Arabidopsis thaliana: one gene and its partners. The protein of the gene in region 1 interacts with the protein of each later gene in a pairwise test. Each region holds a gene or a part of one and is shown in the gene's direction. Other genes may lie near its edges. The genes, in order: SR1, AT2G22360, AT1G28060 and CBL8.

The links.
Region 2: the proteins of SR1 (region 1) and AT2G22360 interact in a two-hybrid assay, tested with the Arabidopsis thaliana proteins (one study listed by BioGRID).
Region 3: the proteins of SR1 (region 1) and AT1G28060 interact in a two-hybrid assay, tested with the Arabidopsis thaliana proteins (one study listed by BioGRID).
Region 4: the proteins of SR1 (region 1) and CBL8 interact in a two-hybrid assay, tested with the Arabidopsis thaliana proteins (one study listed by BioGRID).

What each region holds. Positions count from the first base shown.
Region 1 is NC_003076.8:312,668-317,375, reverse strand, and holds SR1 (serine/threonine protein kinase 1), read left to right. Parts: upstream 1-1,970; 5' UTR 1,971-2,624; coding exon 2,625-3,953; 3' UTR 3,954-4,186; downstream 4,187-4,708. UniProt on the Arabidopsis thaliana protein: CIPK serine-threonine protein kinases interact with CBL proteins. Binding of a CBL protein to the regulatory NAF domain of CIPK protein lead to the activation of the kinase in a calcium-dependent manner.
Region 2 is NC_003071.7:9,495,906-9,501,263, forward strand, and holds AT2G22360 (DNAJ heat shock family protein), read left to right. Parts: upstream 1-1,664; 5' UTR 1,665-1,800; intron 1,801-2,237; 5' UTR 2,238-2,256; coding exon 2,257-2,366; intron 2,367-2,554; coding exon 2,555-2,699; intron 2,700-2,800; coding exon 2,801-2,858; intron 2,859-3,034; coding exon 3,035-3,077; intron 3,078-3,399; coding exon 3,400-3,448; intron 3,449-3,525; coding exon 3,526-3,609; intron 3,610-3,714; coding exon 3,715-4,554; 3' UTR 4,555-4,814; downstream 4,815-5,358. Other genes in the region: AT2G22370 (mediator of RNA polymerase II transcription subunit), read right to left, coding at 5,114-5,216, 5,303-5,358. UniProt on the Arabidopsis thaliana protein: May function together with HSC70 chaperone to assist protein folding and prevent protein aggregation during heat stress in the chloroplast.
Region 3 is NC_003070.9:9,777,034-9,783,369, forward strand, and holds AT1G28060 (Pre-mRNA-splicing factor 3), read left to right. Parts: upstream 1-1,817; 5' UTR 1,818-1,949; intron 1,950-1,969; exon of another isoform or gene 1,970-2,081; 5' UTR 2,082-2,133; coding exon 2,134-2,610; intron 2,611-2,723; coding exon 2,724-3,005; intron 3,006-3,096; coding exon 3,097-3,474; intron 3,475-3,556; coding exon 3,557-3,751; intron 3,752-3,848; coding exon 3,849-4,003; intron 4,004-4,579; coding exon 4,580-5,453; 3' UTR 5,454-5,833; downstream 5,834-6,336. Other genes in the region: BBX13 (B-box type zinc finger protein with CCT domain-containing protein), read right to left, coding at 1-624; AT1G28070 (ATP-dependent RNA helicase), read left to right, coding at 6,049-6,231. UniProt on the Arabidopsis thaliana protein: Functions in the RNA-directed DNA methylation (RdDM) pathway. Acts as a pre-mRNA splicing factor, likely by affecting Pol V transcripts. Affects DNA methylation of transposable elements (TEs) and preferentially influences NRPD1- and ROS1-targeted loci.
Region 4 is NC_003070.9:23,947,247-23,952,160, reverse strand, and holds CBL8 (calcineurin B-like protein 8), read left to right. Parts: upstream 1-1,799; 5' UTR 1,800-1,885; intron 1,886-2,370; 5' UTR 2,371-2,409; coding exon 2,410-2,500; intron 2,501-2,677; coding exon 2,678-2,760; intron 2,761-2,886; coding exon 2,887-2,946; intron 2,947-3,091; coding exon 3,092-3,200; intron 3,201-3,287; coding exon 3,288-3,340; intron 3,341-3,653; coding exon 3,654-3,734; intron 3,735-3,881; coding exon 3,882-3,994; coding exon of another isoform or gene 3,995-3,998; exon of another isoform or gene 3,999-4,044; intron 4,045-4,078; coding exon 4,079-4,133; 3' UTR 4,134-4,367; downstream 4,368-4,914. UniProt on the Arabidopsis thaliana protein: Acts as a calcium sensor. CBL proteins interact with CIPK serine-threonine protein kinases. Binding of a CBL protein to the regulatory NAF domain of a CIPK protein lead to the activation of the kinase in a calcium-dependent manner.

The sequences.
Region 1 (4,708 bases):
AAATACTGTAATTAGATGTTGAATTAATGGAAATTATATAGTCGCCAGACCATTAATAAACGTAAGACAATGCTTACGGGAGATATCAGTTATGTTATCGTACGTTTCTTTCTTCTGCACGAAAGCCCTTTATTTTTCTTCCTGCAGCCTTCATTTATTCTTGCATTACGTTTTTTTTTTTTTTTTGTAAACGTGTTTATAACATATTAACATGGACCTCGTATATTCCATTTTTTTAATTCATTTTATTTATGTTTTCTTTTGTTAATTACTTCAGAAGTTATTTATGGTCATATATATTATATCGTTAAATTTTGTCGTAAAAATGGGTTATATGGTCACATTAATCTTGCATGGGACCAAAAGTAACAAGCTAAATTAATAATGTATTCTTTTATTTTGTTTGTCAACAATTAATAATGTATTCAAAATCAGTAGATATTTTGATTGGAGCAACCTTTCGAACCAACGAAAGAAAAGGGGCAATTATATAACCATCCATTTTTATTGACAGAACCTTGATTTCGTAATTATTTAACGAGCTTCTTTCCTTCCTCCTTCTCTTTTTCCCCAACGAAAGAAGCTTCCATGAAACAGCATCAGAAAAAATCAAAATTAAAAACAAATGAAATCTTTCGTACATCACATTATTAACGCGGTAATTTATTTTTATTTTATTCCCGTACATGTCTTTTAATGGATTTATATATATTAAAAAAGATGTTGATTTGGTTTTATGTGAATACTGTAGTACTAATTTATGCCTACCAAAAAAAAATAGTACTAATTTATGTGTGGCTTGGATTTATATATATGTACAAATGGGCACAGCGTGACAGCGAAAATAGTAACGTACGATTTATCTAATCTTTAAAACGTTGTGTGTTTTGGATAAATTACAAAAATAATTAAAATTGATTTTATATTTTGTTGTACGCTGCGGTGGGTAGATCACGTCGTAGATTTACTATAAAAATTGACACTGCAAAATTTATCCTCTTTTTTTTGGTATTAAACTTTAACCAAAACTTCACAAGATTATAAAAGCCTTGCACTCTAACAATGCAATGCGATGATTTCTAAGTCGTCAAATGTTTAAGTCTGAGGAATTGGGACATAATTAGTGTGATTGTGGGTAGTGATCATACATGGAACTAATACATCTTTATAAAATTATACTGACTTTCCAACTTAGCTAAGTAAGAAAATAGTAACTATTAAAAAAAAACAATGAGATAATGTTAAATATTAATCAAATTTGTTTTTCTTTTTTATTTTGGGCAAAAGTTATTTTTTCAAGCGCACTGTTTGTACTTTATAATGTGAAACATATATTGAAAATAATCAATTGAAATCTTAAATGTAGTCATATTTCTTTTTTTCAAAAAGCATCAAATAGATCAATTTGCCCATAAGACTCGATTTATTTTTCCACGAATATGGGAAAAAACAACTGGAGATTTTTAAAAAGGAATGACATATGTTTTCCAAATGTATTAACTAATGATTCCAACATAAGCAAATATATTTTCTAAAAATAGTGAAATAAACAACTGTGAAATGTATACAAAAAGCATGAAATATATTTTCCCAAGTATTGTTTAAATTTGATAAATAATTCAAGTTATTTGGAACAGTGATGGAGTGGAAAAATAAACATAAGAATCATAATTAAAAATGAACGTAGAGTTTAGATAGTGATTTGAAAAGATTAAGGAAGATTAGGAAATGACACTAGTTATAGGACGATTCCAACCTTGAGCAGTGGGGCGGGAGTTGTAGTAACCTGTCAACCGCAATATATAGCCTGGTGCTCAAAATGAGACTTGAACTAATACTAATAAGGGGAATTTGGATGTTCAAAGGACTTAACCACGATTGATGACTAAACAAAGCAGTGGTTAGCTGAATTACTAACTAACTAGAGCTAGCTGCCTAGGCTAGTCGAAAGAACAATTCTCCGTTTTGAGTTGACCATAAAATAATAATATTCAACAATATTGGAGGAAACATGTTTATATGTTCTTGTAATAATAATATTATAGCAAATAGCCGAAGATACGACGAAGCGTATATGTGTGAAATGAGTATATTCTACAGCCTAAACCCTCGGAGATACCAAATCAACACGACAACAGCGACGGGACACCTGTATGGTTCTAATTCAACTTCTTGTCCACATCTTCATCTTCTTCTTCTTCTTTTTTTAATAGATATATTAAGAAAACAAAACAGAAAATCTCCCACGTCTTTACAAAGAAAATAAAGAAGAAGAAAATAAGGAAAAAGAATCTGATAGTAATTGACAAAAATACCCTCATCTCCTACCTCAAGACAGTAATATATATGTAACAACTCGATACAGAGCATGGCTTATCTCTTATCCGAATCCTCCCAATTTGTCTGTCTCTCTTTTGTTTTCTCTGCTAACAGATCTCTCTAAATATCTGTTACTTTTGTTCATATCTTTTTACTTTTCAAACTACTAATTTTCCTTTCGCTTCTTCTATTAATAACAACACTCTCTCTCTCAGACTTCTTTTCTTTTTTTTCTACGGCGTTGATTCATTCGCAATGACCTCAGTTTCTGTGTACCATAATTGACCTAGCAGATTCTGTTTTTAATGGTAGATTCTGACCCGGTGGAATTTCCGCCGGAGAACCGCCGTGGACAGCTCTTCGGCAAATACGAGGTCGGAAAATTGGTGGGATGCGGCGCCTTCGCGAAAGTGTACCACGGGAGGAGCACAGCGACGGGTCAGAGCGTTGCGATCAAAGTGGTGAGCAAGCAACGGCTGCAGAAAGGAGGACTCAATGGCAACATTCAGAGAGAGATCGCTATCATGCACCGTCTGCGCCACCCTTCTATCGTGCGCCTGTTCGAGGTCCTCGCCACCAAATCCAAGATCTTCTTCGTCATGGAATTCGCCAAGGGCGGTGAGCTATTCGCCAAAGTCTCCAAGGGCAGGTTCTGCGAGGATCTTAGCCGTCGTTATTTCCAGCAGCTCATCTCCGCCGTCGGATATTGCCACTCCCGCGGCATCTTTCACCGTGATCTCAAACCGGAGAATCTCCTCCTCGACGAGAAGCTCGATTTGAAGATCTCTGATTTCGGACTCAGCGCTCTTACCGATCAGATCCGACCCGACGGCCTCCTCCACACACTCTGTGGTACGCCGGCGTACGTGGCGCCTGAGGTTTTGGCGAAGAAAGGGTACGACGGTGCTAAAATCGACATATGGTCATGTGGAATCATACTGTTCGTCCTCAACGCCGGTTATCTCCCTTTCAACGACCATAATCTCATGGTTATGTACCGGAAAATCTACAAGGGAGAATTTCGCATTCCCAAGTGGACCTCACCGGATCTCCGGCGACTGCTGACTCGGCTTTTAGACACGAATCCGCAGACGAGGATCACTATCGAAGAGATCATCCACGATCCATGGTTCAAACAGGGCTACGACGATCGGATGTCTAAATTCCATCTAGAGGACTCCGATATGAAACTCCCGGCGGACGAGACCGACAGCGAGATGGGAGCAAGGAGGATGAACGCATTCGACATCATCTCAGGATCTCCAGGGTTCAATCTCTCCGGTCTTTTCGGAGACGCCAGAAAGTACGACCGAGTGGAACGGTTCGTGTCGGCGTGGACGGCGGAGAGGGTGGTGGAGAGGCTGGAGGAGATCGTGTCGGCGGAGAATCTGACGGTGGCGAAGAAGGAAACATGGGGGATGAAGATCGAGGGGCAAAAAGGTAACTTCGCAATGGTGGTTGAGATAAACCAGCTAACGGACGAGCTGGTTATGATAGAGGTGAGGAAGAGACAAAGAGCCGCTGCATCTGGACGAGATTTATGGACAGATACACTCAGGCCTTTCTTCGTCGAGCTTGTGCACGAATCAGACCAAACGGACCCAGAACCAACTCAAGTACATACGACGTCGTAGTTTAGGTATCTGTCAAATAAATTATCCAAATAATAATTAAAAAAAAATATCCCGGGTTATATGTAATTGCTTTTTTTTTTACCCGGAGAATATCTCTGACATAATTATTCAGGAAATTTCTCGACAAATCTTAATTTTTAGTTGGCAAGTATGTATCTTCTTGTTATGTAATCATAATTATATTTTATATAAATGAAAAATAAAATATAAAAAAATGTATTACTTGTTTTAAATGGCCACTATAATACATTAGTAACGTATCGTGGATGTGAAGTAATGCTATGTGTACAAGACACTCTAACTTAACCATTACTTAAGGATTAGTTAACTATTCAACATGATATTTAACATACATATAGATGTAATTTTTAACAACTCATAAAACACAGTCTTCTTCTGCTATTAATTTTGTCATTATGTAAAAAGAAGTGTCAAGATTTGAGCCATGAACTAACACAACTGATCTACTTTCACCTTTTTGATAAGTAAGAGGTTGTCCTTATCACATCATTGTAAAAATATACTATTAAAATAGATATATAGCTAGTGGACTTTATATAATCCTATCGCATGTGGCTGTGATATAAGATCATACACCAATAATTCTCATCAATCATTTTCTTTTCTTGGTATCCACATTGAATCCAATCATCCATAATCCATTAATTTCAGCTTCAGCAGTTATAATTACTGTAATCAACATATATATCACCTTTTCAATGCAATAATTGTAGGCTCCACGATCTATATATTAT
Region 2 (5,358 bases), on another chromosome or scaffold:
CTTCGATGAAATAAAGCTAATCTTATCTTTGATAAGCTTCAGAAGTCTTAATAATTTCACAAAAGCTTAGCATTATCGATATCCTAGAGATAAGAAGGTATAAAAAAGAGTAAAATTTATATTGAACCAAACAATTCATGGGACTGTTTTATCAGAGGATTTGGCGAGTAATGGCACCGGAACGAGTCCGTGTTTTTCTCTGGTTAGTGGTGCAGCAAGTGATCATAACTAATGTGGAAAGATATCGAAGACACTTGAGTGATACGAGGGTGTGTCAGATTTGTCAAGGCGGGGAGGAGACGATTCTACATGTTCTCCGCGACTGTCCCGCAATGGCAGGGATATGGAGCCGGTTAGTCCCTCGTGATCAAATACGACAATTCTTCACTGCTTCTTTGCTGGAGTGGATCTACAAGAACTTACGGGAACGTGGATCATGGCCGACGGTGTTTGTAATGGCAGTATGGTGGGGATGGAAATGGAGGTGTGGCAACATCTTTGGCGGGAATGGTAAGTGTAGGGACCGTGTTAAGTTTATTAAGGATTTGGCGGAGGAAGTGGCGATAGCGAATGCTTTTGTGAAGGGGAATGAGGTGCGGGTGAGTAGAGTTGAGCGGTTGGTGTCTTGGGTATCGCCGGAAGATGGTTGGGTAAAGTTGAACACGGATGGGGCTTCGCGGGGTAATCCGGGGTTTGCAACGGCGGGTGGGGTTTTACGGGATCATAATGGAGCGTGGATTGGAGGTTTTGCGGTTAATATAGGTGTTTGTTCCGCACCCTTGGCTGAGTTGTGGGGTGTCTACTATGGGTTATTCATCGCTTGGGGGAGGGGAGCTCGGCGGGTTGAATTAGAAGTAGACTCGAAGATGGTGGTTGGGTTTCTCACGACAGGGATTGCGGATTCTCATCCCTTGTCATTCCTATTACGCTTGTGCTATGACTTTTTATCGAAGGGCTGGATAGTCCGAATCTCTCATGTGTATAGGGAAGCTAATCGTCTTGCTGATGGATTAGCGAACTATGCTTTCTCGTTATCCCTAGGTTTGCATTTGTTGGAGTCTAGACCCGATGTTGTTAGTTCTATTTTGTTAGATGATGTAGCGGGGGTTTCGTACCCGAGACATGTCCAAGTGTAATTTTTTTATTTTCTTTTAATAAAACGGGAGACGCAGTCTCCCTCATTCTACCAAAAAAAAAACAATGCAGATATTTGCAAATTTTTCTTCTTTTTAGATACAGAGTATATGTAGGCATGTAGCTAAAGATACTTGATTTGGTGTGATTTTGATCATCTGGATGTAAAAGGTATGGTGATGCGTCTAGTGTTGGAGCACTTGAGGCTTTGGTTATTGGTGTTGTGGTCATTGTTAATTAGTACCAATGTGAAGCACCTTTATCGATTTCACAGGGACTGGACCATAGTGATGCTTGAGTGACGACTCTTATTCGTCGTGGTCTAAGCCGCCTCTTTATCATTTTTAGGGCTCTTTGGTCGACTAATTTTATTTTATTTTTCCCTTTCACTAGGGTTTCCTGACTTGTTAAACAAGCTTTAGCTCTCCGATTAACAGCTAACAGCTCTTTTACCACTCAGACCCTTTATTTTTTTATCCCGGCCACCTATTATTTATTTTGCTTGATTTTATTTCATTAATAAAATTTATAGGAAAAAAGAAAAAATTTAAAAATAAGAAACAAGAGGTAGGCTCTTCTAGCGAACTCCTTTCATACGTTTTCTCTCTACTCTCATCGCTTTTCTTATCTCTCTCGGAGCTCTTCCGTCGTCCACCATTGATTACGGTAAGATTCACCTTCTCCTACTCAATTTCATAACTATAGATAAATAAATCTCTGTCTTCTCTGCCTCTGTTAGTTTTTTTCTACGATTGAAACCATCAAATCAATTCAAGGTTTTACACAGTTTCTTATGCTTGTCCTGATTGTTTCGTTCCCGGAGAGGGAGAAATTACGGCTTTTGGAATCCGCCCAGAAAATTTCCCGCCCAGCTCGGATTTTGATAGAAATGTTTTGCCTTTTTGGTTTCTGTAAAATTGATATTCTTATTGTACTTTGATTGAAGTATGTGTGTTCAATTGAAATTGATGTTGTGTATTTCTTAAGTTTGAATCTTTGTGTAAGGATTGGGGGTTTAGGGTTTTGACTCATGATTGCTTTCTGCATTTTTAAAGTTAAAAAGCCAGACTTTGAGGCTTAGAGCTACTTATATTGTGTTGCAGGGAGTGTATTGAGCTAAATATGGCTATAATACAACTTGGAAGTACATGTGTTGCTCAATGGAGTATTCGTCCTCAATTTGCAGTCAGAGCTTATTATCCCAGCAGAATCGAATCAACTCGCCATCAAAAGTATGATTTTTAAGTCTCTGGATTGCATTCAGTTCTGTGGCTTTAAGCCTTTCAAGTATTTTGATTTGTTCACATTGCACATCTTAAGATTAGTCTTCGTAGAATGAAGTTTGTATTATGTGATTTCTACACTGAGAGTTTTATATATGAAATAGCATTAAAGGTTTTCCTTTTCACAACTTTTACAGTTCCAGTAGCCAAGTAAATTGTTTGGGAGCTTCAAAGTCGAGTATGTTCTCACATGGGTCATTGCCCTTCTTGTCCATGACGGGAATGTCCAGAAATATGCATCCTCCTCGCAGAGGATCTCGCTTCACTGTTAGAGCTGATGCAGTACGTGTTCCTATTTTCTTCCCTTTGCTGAATGCGTATATCTCAGCTTCACTATTTATTATGATCTTGATTGCTTTTTGTGTGATTGTGTGCAATTCTAGGATTACTATTCGGTACTCGGAGTTTCGAAAAATGCAACCAAAGCTGAGATTAAAAGCGGTATGTTTCTGTTTTTCTGTGTGTGAGAGATTCCCTTGTATATATAGATGGTTTGCATATGTTAAAATGCATGATCAAACCCGTGATGTGAATTCTTTGCTTGGCGTTTCTTTTTTTTTCTTGACTTGGTACTTTTTGGTATGACATTGATTCGCTCTTCCTTGCTCTTGTTTCAGCTTATCGGAAGCTGGCTAGGAATTACCATCCGGATGTGAACAAGTAAGTGAAAAACTTCACTTGATGACGATAGTGGATGTATATCTTGAGAATAAGAAGATAGGATCGACAGTCAAGTAGAGATAAGAAGCTTAATATCTGTTAGCCAAATGTTAGATATGCCAAAAACAAGATGACTGCAAACCTTGGATTATGTTGTTCCCCAAATTAGGGAAACCAGTTATTTTAAGAACTCATAGCCCTTAGCAAAATACAGACCGGGAAATATGAAATGCTCAGAAACCGCTTTTTTCCTTTCAAGACTGACACTTCTAAGTTAGAAAAGTGTTACCGTCTTGTTTACATGTTTATTATGTGCTTACAGGGATCCTGGCGCAGAAGAGAAATTCAAAGAAATAAGTAACGCATATGAGGTGAAATGAAACCCAGTTTCTCCTTTGTTTCTACTATGCAAGTTCGTACTTTTAGTGACTAAAGAACAAAATTGCAGGTTTTATCAGATGATGAAAAGAAATCTCTTTACGATAGGTATGGTGAGGCCGGACTTAAAGGCGCTGCTGGATTTGGCAATGGGGTACGTTGTTCAAAACACAGATGCACAGATTTATTCTTTATAGACACTCGAAGTTAACTCTCTGATCACTTCTTGGTTTGGTTTTTTGTTATTAAATTTCATTAGGATTTTAGTAATCCGTTCGATCTATTCGACTCATTATTCGAAGGCTTCGGTGGTGGGATGGGTAGAGGTTCAAGAAGCAGAGCTGTGGATGGTCAAGACGAGTATTACACGCTAATCTTAAACTTCAAAGAAGCGGTTTTCGGAATGGAGAAAGAAATAGAGATATCCCGGCTCGAGAGCTGTGGGACATGTGAAGGTTCAGGTGCAAAACCTGGAACCAAACCGACCAAATGCACCACGTGTGGCGGACAAGGCCAAGTGGTTTCAGCAGCTAGAACTCCTCTGGGCGTGTTCCAACAAGTCATGACTTGCTCGTCCTGTAATGGCACTGGAGAGATCTCGACGCCGTGTGGTACTTGCTCTGGAGACGGACGCGTGAGGAAGACAAAACGGATAAGTCTCAAAGTACCAGCCGGGGTTGATTCAGGTAGCCGGTTGAGAGTGAGAGGAGAAGGCAATGCCGGGAAGAGAGGCGGATCACCAGGCGATCTGTTTGTTGTTATAGAAGTTATCCCAGACCCGATTTTGAAACGAGACGATACAAATATTCTCTACACTTGCAAGATATCGTATATCGATGCGATTTTAGGGACGACACTGAAAGTACCAACAGTGGATGGGACAGTAGATTTGAAAGTTCCAGCTGGGACACAACCTAGCACGACGCTTGTGATGGCGAAAAAAGGAGTTCCGGTATTGAACAAGAGTAATATGAGAGGAGATCAGTTGGTGAGAGTACAAGTGGAGATACCTAAGAGATTGAGCAAAGAGGAGAAAAAACTTATTGAAGAGCTTGCTGATATGAGCAAGAACAAGACTGCTAATAGCACCAGTAGATGATTAGAAACACGAAAATTTTGACATTGAAATTATGAATCTCTCTATACATATACATTTTTCTACTCTGGCTTGTGATATTTAGAATGGCTCTTGAAAAAAGAAGAAGCAAGTGGAGGAAGATGATTATTGTTGTGGAAATGGAAGAATTTTAGAATTCATTTTTTTGTGGTTCAAATTTTTAATATGTTAGGTTTTAATAGGCTTTCAAATTGGAATTTATTAGTGATTGAATGATAAATAAAATAGTATGTAATTCCACAAAGACATTCACATTATTTTAATCATGTTCGAAGCTTCATAAACTATCAATCTACTGACAAGTGACAACAATGAAACATCATAATACCAAAAGGTTGAGAGAAGAGCAAAGATCATATGCAAGTTGTGATTTATAAAGAATATTTATTAAAGATCCCTTACTGATTCTCATTAAATAATACTTAACTCTAATGGTTCACAAGATTTCACAACCATTGTGTAATCTGGAAAATTGACTAGATTGGACCAAAAGATCTAACAAGAGAGAACACAAGAACAGTTGTTTTTAACTTCAAACTTCTTACAATGTAGTACCTCCTCCATCCGACATAAGAGATGCAGCCGCCGCAGCAGCGGTTGGCACAACCCCCGTGGAGATAGACGGTTTCGACAAGTGAACAAGCCTGAAAACACAAGGAATCATATCACTGATGAAGCTTATATCAAAGACACTATCACAGGTGCTGTAAAATATATCAGATGAACTTACGGAGCAAGAAATTCACAGAAAGATGAAACAGCAGCAGCGACTTCACTGTAATTCTC
Region 3 (6,336 bases), on another chromosome or scaffold:
TCCATCACAAGCACCCTCACGGTCACAATCACGGTCACGATCACCATCATCGCCATCACCACCGACAACACCACTCTTAAGCAACTCCTCAAGCTGCTTACACAATACCTGCTTATACCTCCCACAACTAGATCCACAAGATCCACGCTTCTTAAACGTCGTATCGCTGGGAACAATCAATTCATTAGATCCCAAAACCCAAGAATCCAACTGCATCCCGAAATTATCCATCATCATCGCCATCATCGGAACTTGATTCTCTTCATCTTTCCTCCCTTGCTCCAAATCAAGTCCCCATAAAGCAGCAAGCTCCAACGCCGATGGACAACCGGAAAAACCTTCCACGGCGGATCGAACATGAGCATCGGAAACTGAACAACTTCCGTGAACATCCCAATCACACTCCTGACACAAAATCAGATTATCGGTGAAACACCGAACAGAGACTGGCTCGTTACCGCAATTATCGCAGATCTGAGATCGCACGTGCTTCCTCGACAACAGATTCGCCGTGTGAACTTGCTGATCACAAGGCAAACACAGCTTCGCCGTATCGGCTCTACAAAACAAAACCGCCGTACGCTCGCCGCAGAAATCGCACGGTACTCTCTCCGAACTACTCATAACTGACTCTCTCTCAAAATCCCTAAAATTCGAAATCAAAATCAGAATTTATTTTCAGAGACTAAGGACGGTGAGAAGAATGATGACAAATCCATTTCTCACGTTTTTCATTTTGAACTCTTTTTTTTTTTGGGGGGCTTTGTCAAAATTATCTGCAAATCTTTTGGAATGAAGAAGACAACGAAGCTAATTATTGTAAACAGTTTGGGGTTAGGGATTTGTTTTTCTGTGTTGCGATGTATGGAACTTGTGTATGATGGATTGTTCAGATTGAGATATGTTGAGATCTGACGGTGTAAAAGCGTGCTGAGAGAGTCGCCATTGTTCAGACGGCGAAGCTTACGTTGACTGTGACAGAGAATCTAAGAGAAAATATCTAATCTGCTTTTTCACCTAAATATCTATTTTAACGTATAAAGGGAAAGTTAGTTCAAAGCACATGATTTTTATGGGATTAATTCTTTCCGTATATAGCAATAACTTTTTGATCAGTGTAATAACGGCTGGAATCGTCTTTTTCTGGAACTAGTATTTACGAACATTGCAGCGTAATGTATAGCATATATTTATGTGCATAATAAACTGCTACACACGAGTTCTTGACAAAAGATGTGATAAAATTAAAATCGTAAAGATATTTTAGGATTCATGTTAGATATTTTCTTTTTGTCCATAGACTTCAATAAGTTGTTTTTTTTTGTTTTGAAAAAAAGTATAACTTATTTGTAAAGTGCTATCATTCTGAGGTATAAATATCTTGAAAAAGTTCCTGGGGAGTGGTAACAATCGGAACGATTCTTGACTAACGCATTAAATTTCACGTGTTAGAGAGTTTGTGATTCAGACTATACATAATACAGTATATGAGCGGGTTTTTTCTTTTTTGAGTCAAAGCGGAATATATGCGTTATATACTTCTATATTTGAATTCTTGAGTTTTGATCGAATGTTTAATTTGTGGTCAACTTGTGGAAATCTCTTGGCAAAGAAATCTTATTTATCCAAAAAATAGTTGGTATGAAAACTCTTGGCAAAGAAATCTTGTTTATTCCAAAAATAGTTGGTATGAAGAGTTTGGATTTCTGCTTGTAAGAAAACTGCGACCTGACATCAAATATTTTTCTTTTTAAAGATAAATAGCTTGAATTTTCATATATCTCTATAGAAGATGAATCGTCGATTTTTTTTTTTTTAAGTAAAAGATGATATAAAAGCCCATTAGACTCAAAATTGAAGAACTATCTCAAGAAGGAACTCAAAAATGGGCTTCAGCCCATAAGGGAAGCTTGTAGTCCGGTGATTGGATTATATATCTTCCGGATCCGGTATCGTTTCGCTCCCTTTAGGATTTTTCCGGAAGGAACAAAAATCTGATTCAGAACTTGGTTTCGCTGGTCGTTTTGGTTCTAATCTGAATCGCTGGTTTATTCCGGTTGTGAATTTTCGTATATTTATAGGACCGGCGAATCAGAAGCAAATTGTTGTTAGGAATAAACCCTAAATTCTGCCATGGATAAGGAGAGATATTCCAGGAGCCACCGTGACGATCGTGATCGAGATTCGAGTCCCGACCATTCTCCACAACGTGAAGGAGGACGCCGCCGTGACCGCGATGTTGATTCGAAGCGTCGTGATTCAGATCACTACCGTTCATCGAGGCGCGGCGATAGGGAAGATGAGAGAGATAGGACCAAGGATAGAAGAGGGAGATCTGTAGAGCGAGGCGAGAGAGAAGGGAGTAGAGATAGGGAAAAGCATCACCATGAGAGGTCTCACGAAGGTAGTAAAGAGAAGGAATCGAGGAGCAAGAGGAAAGATAGAGAGGAAGAGAATGGGGCTAGGGATGGGAAGAAGAAATCTAGGTTTGCTGATGGGAATGGTGAGAGGAGGAGCAGGTTTGAGGATGTGGCTATTGAAGTTGAGAACAAAGATGCTCAAGTCTCTGAGGGTTCTGGGGCTACGAATCCAACCAGTGGCGTTACGATGGTGAGTTCTTTATACCTTTTCGTTAATCTTCTTTGTTTGCTACTTGCGATTTGTTCATGATTACCTCTAGTCTTCTTCGCTAGCTAATGCTTGCATTTTCTTTTTTTGTGCAGGGAGCCTCTACATATAGTTCTATTCCATCGGAAGCTTCTGCTGCCCCTAGTCAAACACTGCTCACTAAGGTATCTTCGATATCTACAACGGATGAAAATAAGGCTAGTGTTGTCAGATCTCATGAGGTTCCTGGAAAATCTAGTACAGATGGAAGACCATTGTCCACAGCTGGGAAAAGTAGTGCAAACTTGCCTCTTGATTCATCAGCGTTAGCAGCGAAAGCTAGGAAAGCACTACAATTGCAAAAGGGATTGGCTGATAGATTGAAGAACCTTCCTTTGGTAAGATGTACAGATATTCTATACTTTTTTGCGTTCATTCTTCTCTGAAAACTTTGTATTTGATAAATTGCTTTTCTTATTCTCTGTGCAGCTGAAGAAGGCTACTAAGCCAACTTCAGAAGGTAGCCCACATACCAGAGTGCCACCATCGACTACCACTCCTGCTGTCTCTACAGGCACATCTTTTGCTTCAACATTACCACATACTGGCCTTGCTGGCTTTGGGAGTATTGCCAACATTGAAGCTGTTAAGCGAGCCCAGGAGCTGGCAGCTAATATGGGATTTCATCAGGATCGAGAGTTCGCTCCCGTTATTAACCTATTTCCAGGACAGGCACCCTCAGATATGACTGTTGCACAGAGACCGGAAAAGCCCCCTGTTCTGCGCGTGGATGCACTAGGAAGGGAGATAGATGAACACGGAAATGTGATTAGTGTGACTAAACCAAGCAATCTTAGTACATTGAAGGTCAGCAATGTTAATTTGAATATCTTAAGTTTTCATGTTTTTCTTTATATGATCGAGCTTCTAAAGTACTTGGATTTTACAGGTTAACATAAACAAAAAGAAGAAAGATGCTTTTCAGATTCTTAAACCTCAACTGGAAGCAGATCTAAAAGAAAACCCCTATTTTGACACAAGGATGGGTATTGATGAAAAAAAGATTCTGAGACCTAAACGTATGAGTTTCCAGTTTGTTGAGGAAGGTAAATGGACAAGAGATGCTGAAAATTTGAAGTTTAAGGTATGCATTGTCTTTTGTATGGATTCTTTTTGACGATATTCTCTCTTGGTGGTCTTTTAGATGTCTCATTGTGTGTATTTCTGTCTTTTCTTTATAGAGTCATTTTGGTGAAGCAAAAGCGAAGGAGCTGAAGGTGAAGCAAGCACAACTGGCTAAGGCAAACGATGATATAAATCCAAATTTGATAGAGGTATCCGAACGTGTCCCGAGAAAAGAGAAGCCCAAGGAGCCAATTCCAGATGTTGAGTGGTGGTACGTAATTTCTCTCACCTTACCCTTTCTGTTAATGCTAAGTTGTTTTGTTTCTGATTTGACATTCACTTGGCATAACCTTGGTGGAAACAAGTCATCCTGCACTTAAAAACTGAACTTGTAACGATTGGAGTATTTGATGACTGTGATGAATCACCATAACAATAACTTTAGTTTGCTCTCAGCTACGGATGACATTCATATAATTTGTTTGGTGTTCTTGTTGCTCATGTTGGTTTAGGGTTGTTTGTTTGTTTTTTGAATTACTATCTAGTTTCGTTTAGGTGGGATATATACAATTAATATTTCAATTCTTTGATTTCTTTGAGTGTTCGCATATGTGCTTTAGTTTTCCACATACAACTTCTGAAAGTTCAATGGTTTTGTCATCAGCAACGGTGTGATTGGTAGTAAAATATGGTAACATGAATCTACTGATGATTATGATCTACTTAGTACCTTTCAATGCCAGCCCAAATAGTTAATCTAGCTGCTTTGTGCTCTGTCGTTTTGGTCTATTTTCTTGGTATATGTTCATGATGAGTCTTCTTAGTTCATAATTGTTTTATGTTTCAGGGATGCAAATGTCCTCACCAATGGCGAATACGGCGAAATAACTGATGGCACCATTACTGAAAGCCATCTGAAGATAGAAAAACTTACTCATTACATTGAGCATCCTCGTCCCATAGAGCCACCTGCAGAGGCAGCTCCTCCACCACCCCAACCTCTTAAACTGACAAAGAAGGAACAGAAGAAACTGCGAACCCAGAGGCGTCTAGCAAAAGAAAAGGAGAAACAGGAGATGATCAGACAAGGGTTGCTGGAACCACCAAAAGCAAAGGTGAAGATGAGCAACTTAATGAAGGTTCTTGGTTCTGAAGCGACCCAAGACCCAACAAAGCTTGAAAAAGAGATCCGCACAGCAGCTGCTGAGCGTGAACAGGCTCATACAGATAGGAATGCTGCCCGGAAGCTAACTCCTGCAGAGAAACGTGAGAAGAAAGAGAGGAAGCTTTTCGATGATCCAACAACGGTTGAGACGATTGTGTCGGTGTACAAGATCAAAAAGTTATCGCACCCTAAAACAAGATTCAAAGTGGAGATGAATGCAAGAGAGAACAGATTAACAGGGTGTAGTGTGATGACGGATGAAATGAGTGTGGTTGTGGTTGAGGGCAAGAGCAAAGCGATAAAGAGATACGGGAAGCTGATGATGAAGCGAATAAACTGGGAAGAGGCAGAGAGGAAGGAAGGGAATGAAGACGAGGAAGAAGAAGTGAATGGCGGAAACAAGTGTTGGTTGGTTTGGCAAGGAAGTATTGGGAAACCGAGTTTTCATAGGTTTCATGTACACGAATGCGTGACGGAATCCACTGCCAAGAAAGTTTTCATGGATGCTGGTGTTGTTCACTACTGGGATCTCGCTGTCAATTACTCAGACGACTAAATCCTCTCTCCCTCATATCATCATCATCACCTTGAAATGCGTTAACTATTTGGACATGTTATTGCACTTCTATGAACATATATTCCCCTGGTGTCTGGTATTTTAGTTTTTGAACAAGAAATGATCTGTTTTTTACTAGGTAAACTGTTTAAGGTTGATGATACAACATGAATTATCTGAGTCACAGCCAAAAAAGTACCATTGGTTAAGTATGATTATGACTTAAAACAAAACTATAATGTTTTAAAAATATCGAGGCCACTAACCGATAACATAATTATGTGTACAGTCAGAAGAATGAGCCGCGCGTGTAGATGGTTGGACGAAACGTGCGACAAGATGCGAGCCTGAGTGCTCAATATGTACCTGACAGCTACACCTCCTCCAGCTTTCTCTTTACCCAACAATTCTCCACCAACACGGGCGCGTGACCTCATGAAAATCCCCAAACTACCCTCAAACTCTGTTTTTTTTTCCTTGATTAAAGAGTCTTCCTTCGTGTTTTTCTTGTTTTCATTCCTTCCAAATATCTATCTCTTTTGTTTCTTCTTCTTCTTCTCCTCTGCTTTTGGAATCATTATAGTGATAAGAGGAGATGGCGGATATAACAGAATATCTAGAGAGATCGATGCAGAATTGTTCACTTATTGATCGGAGAAGTAGTATGGGAGATGGATTTGGTATGAGCGATGAACATATCCCGATCTCAGATAGATTCTTGGAGCTCAGTTCTCACTTCTCTGTTCCTTCTCATTTGGAACAGTGTCTTGATCTTAAGGTAAAAGAAAACTCACACAAAAAGAAACAGATTCCTTCCATGTTTCCTTATAATTGATCTTTCAATTTTATTTTGTTTTGTCTCAAAATGCTCAAAGGGTTTTGG
Region 4 (4,914 bases), on another chromosome or scaffold:
TTGATGTTGAAGACGGCTAAAGATCGACCAAGCCTAAGAAAAACACACTTGAGGGTTTCAAAGAGAAAATTCAAAATCTCTGTTGTGAATGGGCCGACAAATGGGCCGACAGTTTGTCTTAATAGATATCATGTTTTAGTTCTCAGAAGAAATGATAGCTCTTATTTTGATGATCGACTATTATCGTTGGCTTATTGCAAAGTACAAGCAAGTGCTGATGAAGCTAGAGGATAAACTGAGGTCTGCAGAGGATGTTACAAAGGCTAATTAATGGTTTTGTGAGGGAGACCATCGAGTCTTTAACATTTCTAACCTGTGGAAGTCTCTCTTTGAACAAGAAGCTGGTGAAGCATCACCTCAAGTGATAAGGGATGAATTGTTAGCGACCTGTTTCAGCCTATTTTGGGTGAATCATGCCATAGCGAGATACAGAAACTACCTGTATACTCTCCTTACGTTCTAGGATCAGAATTTTTCATCAACTCACTCAGGTTACATATATAATAAAGTAAGTCTTTCTGTTTTTGACATTTTTGGTTTTTGTTGTTGTTGTTTTGGCAGATCGTATTTACCAATTCATTCACCCATTATCCTTATCAGTTAGCATATCAAGTTGTTGGACCATTATAAGTGCGCTTTATGTGATCATTCTTTCTAAAACACACCAAATTACTTTTGAAAAATCTATATCTTGATGATCAAATTCATGATCTATAATATATACATGTGAATCATAATCTTTCCACTTGTCTATGATAATAGTTATCCGCATCTAATCATATCTTACAATATTTGTCTCTGAGCACGTGATATTGAAAGATCAAGAAGCTTTTCATAATTCTTGGATTCAATAGTGTCATCAAGAAGAACCTCGTAACATTGTTTTGACATAAGGAGTCCCCACAATACAAGAAATGAACCATGTTAGTATGAATAGTCGGCACTATTTTGACCATTGTTTTATCCTATGTTTTTTCGTTTCACGATAAACAATCAGAACTATGTTTGAGTTTAAATCAGAACAATCAGAACTAAATGGTTTATCATATGTGTTTTCGCCTTCGGTCATGATAACGTTTTTTCTACAATGACTACACCAATTTGCTTGTGGAGAATCTAATTTCTGAGCATCAATTTTACGAGGATCTTCGATTTTTCCCCTTTCACCAAGTGAAGGTGACGCTGGGATTTGCGAAAATCTCCCTCGATCAATGGTCTTACTTGAGAGAGAAAGTATCGCACCACATCGCACATCATTCTTTCCAACAAAATTAGGGTTCAAGACTCAAGAATACCTCTTTCTCTTCGTTCTCATTCGCAAAAAGATCATGATGATTATTACTCTTCCCATCCATGGCGTCGCGCGCGCGCACGCACTATCTTCTCTCTTTCAAAGATTGTAAAACCTAAAAGAATTTTTCTAATGAATCCCTAGAAAATTAGGAAAGAAAGTAAAGAAAAAGAAGAATAATCCAACGGTTTTTTATTTTAATAAGAACAAAGCGCGTGAATAACAACTAACAATACTCTTTTTACGTGTTATTTTTTCTTGTTTTAATTTTTATTATTATTATAAAAACGAATTAAGAAGAATAAAATCAAATTTTCTCTTTTTTTCTGAACACCTATCAAATTATCTGTTTATGAAATTGAAACCGAAAAAAAAAAAATTGTCAAATAAAAAGATCGTACAGTCACAACTTATTCTTTAATTTATTTTATTTTTAATGATTGCTGAATTTTTAATGAAGTATACAGTAAGCTTTTTGTTTTCCGTCGATATCACATAAGGCATTTCCGTATATCTAAAGTCTTCTCTAGAAATATTGGAAGAACAACAACCCTCTAAATACAACCAATTTGTAACACAAGATCGATCATCCAGGTATTTTCACTTTTAGACTTTTATCATTTGAATCGAATCTTTCTTGATTATTTGGGTTTTATTTTCCTGCCAAATAAGATTTTAATTTTGTAATTAATTGAGCCTATTGTTCTTAATTAAGATCTTGGCCTCTTTCTTGGGGATTACTATATGATGATCATATAGGTTTTATGAGGAATTTATGAGAACCTCTAAATTGTTACTAGGTTTGCCCATCCATGTATCGATCTTAATTAATTTCAAGTCTTCTTCTTAATTAATTGTTATGATCTCATCATATGCATGTTCTTGATTCGTTCCTTGTCGTCATTTTTAACATAAGATGATCGGATCATAAAGATCTAAACCAGATTCATATAAATCTTTTAATTATTTGTTAGTCCACCGTAACTATCATTTCCTCTTATCTACCATTGCGAATTCCAACGGATCATTGAATCAAGATCAGGAGCCTGAAACTTTTTTTTTTTTATTGGTTATTTTAGCAGCACAAAAAATTATTCTATATTTACCAAAGTTGTTGAATGTTGGCATTCGTGAAATGCTTCTCGTTGAAGCGAGCAAAGCATCCTCGTGGATATGAGGATCCTCATGTTCTTGCATCCGAAACTCCCTGTAAGTCAAACCAAACAAACAAAAACCGCAACATCTCTATGTAAAAATTGAATAACATAATTAATTACGAAAGATAAAGAAGAGTTAATAAACGATCATCTATAAACGAATATGAGCTGTATATAGATGCATTTTATGAAGCTATTTATAGAGTTTATGTATAATTGATGTATGCAGTCACCGTGAATGAGATTGAGGCTTTACACGATTTATTCAAGAAGCTAAGTACATCTATTATCAATGATGGTCTAATCCATAAGGTAACATTTATTTCTTAAATGGTTTTTCATTTATACAAAAAAAAAATTGTATATTAAATCTAAAAATCACATTTTTTTTGGGATTTGATTTGCATCTACATGCATGACCTAATATTTTATGAGCAGGAAGAGTTTCTTCTGGCTTTGTTCAGAAACGGCAGTATGCAAAATCTATTTGCGGACAGGGTTCGTATATCTGTTCTATACTTGCATAATTAATTATATATAAACATATTTTTTGTTTAATTACATATTTCAATGAATATTATTGACGTCAAGAAAAATAAAAAAGGTGTTTAGCTAAATAATTCGGAAAAAGTGGTGCATGCAGGTGTTTTATATGTTTGATAGGAAACGCAACGGTGTGATTGAGTTTGGAGAATTTGTTCGTTCCCTTAGCATATTCCATCCATACACTCCCGAACATGAAAAATCTGCATGTACGTTATTTACACTTTAGGATCATGAAAATATACGTGTTTATTTACGTGTCTAATAGATGAAGTAAATCGCTTGTAATGTTGTAGTTATGTTCAAGCTTTTTGACCTCCATGGAACCGGCTTCATCGAGCCCCATGAGGTACTGATAAAATGCTATAGATCTCATCAATTCTACTATTAAAAAAATGGAGAAATTAAAAAAGAATTTTGAATAAAACGGTGAAATCTTTATACGAACAAGTAAATAGTAATTGAAAAATCTTACCTTCAAATTTTCATTTTTTGGTTCAGATTGCAAAGTTGTAGAACATAGATTGCAACCTTCCAAAACCACAAAATTATTCTTTCCATATCAAAATATGTGCATATATATATTATCATATATGTCTTTGGATGTTTGGAGATGCATACACAAACATTTTGATGTGTAAAATGTTTTGGTTGGAAATTAGCTGAAGAAGATGGTTGGCGCACTACTTGGTGAAACAGACTTAGAACTCTCGGAAGAATCTATTGAAGCTATCGTGGAACAGGTCACGCAACATTATACCTAATTTTAATCTATTTATCTTTCTTATTATGACATTAATATTCCTATATATTTAATATCTTTTTTTTGTTAAAGATATATATTTAATATCTTAATGATGTTGAATTTGTGAATCGATTTTTACAAACAGACGATGCTCGAGGTTGATACAAACAAAGATGGGAAGATTGATGAAGAAGAGTGGAAAGAGCTCGTTGCTAAGAATCCTTCAATCCTCAAGAACATGACTCTGCCTTACCTCAAGTAGACTTTTATTTCAAAAATATTTCTCTTTCTTGTTTTTATTGACATATAAAGTAAGTACGTCGTCGTTTCTATGATTTATAGGGAAGTGACTTTAGCATTTCCAAGCTTTGTACTCGACTCTGAAGTTGAAGACTAGAGGAAATCTTTAGAAGAAGCTAGAGGCTTTTTCGAATTATACGTTTGAGGTCTTTTAATCCTTTTTATGTATAATTCGGAATTCATTCGACATTATATGGTACAAGGCTGAAACAATTTGCAATTCTTTTTGTTTCGATTATGTCTCTCGGTCGTTTAGTTACTTGTTGATAATCTATTTCTAAGGGAATTTTTTTACAATGAAATAACAATTTTCTTTAAGGTTTTATCATTTAAATGGCTTTTTAGAAAAATGGCGTTGTGGACAATAATCTCAAAATATAAAGAAAAGTGAACTCTTAACGGTCACTGGTGAGCAACGGCTATAGGAGGAGCCACTGCAGTAGCAACGTCGGGTCCACACGTGTGTCGAACTGTCGATATATGTGCGGCCAATTGGTTTTGAATTTTAAATAGTTATCTTTTGATGTTGTTGTATTCATGTACCAACAATAATCGTGACAACATTAACTTATCTTCTTACAAATATTGAAATGTATATAAATACGTCAGGTCATATTATTTTATTGTCAGATGAAAACCACCGGCCATACCAGATGTTATCAACTACTCTTATTAAAGCTTAGATGATACTTGGTTGATTTCGTATAAAATATAGTAATAATGTAAGATCATCTCTAATAGTTAAGAACCAATTACTTCTTAACCTTGAATATTAACGTTATTTTAAATTAAAATTTCACTGTTTTGAAGGTAAGAAAAATTAGAGAAGATTTTAACAAATTACTATTCCAATGATTAAGAATCCCTTCTTAAGAAGA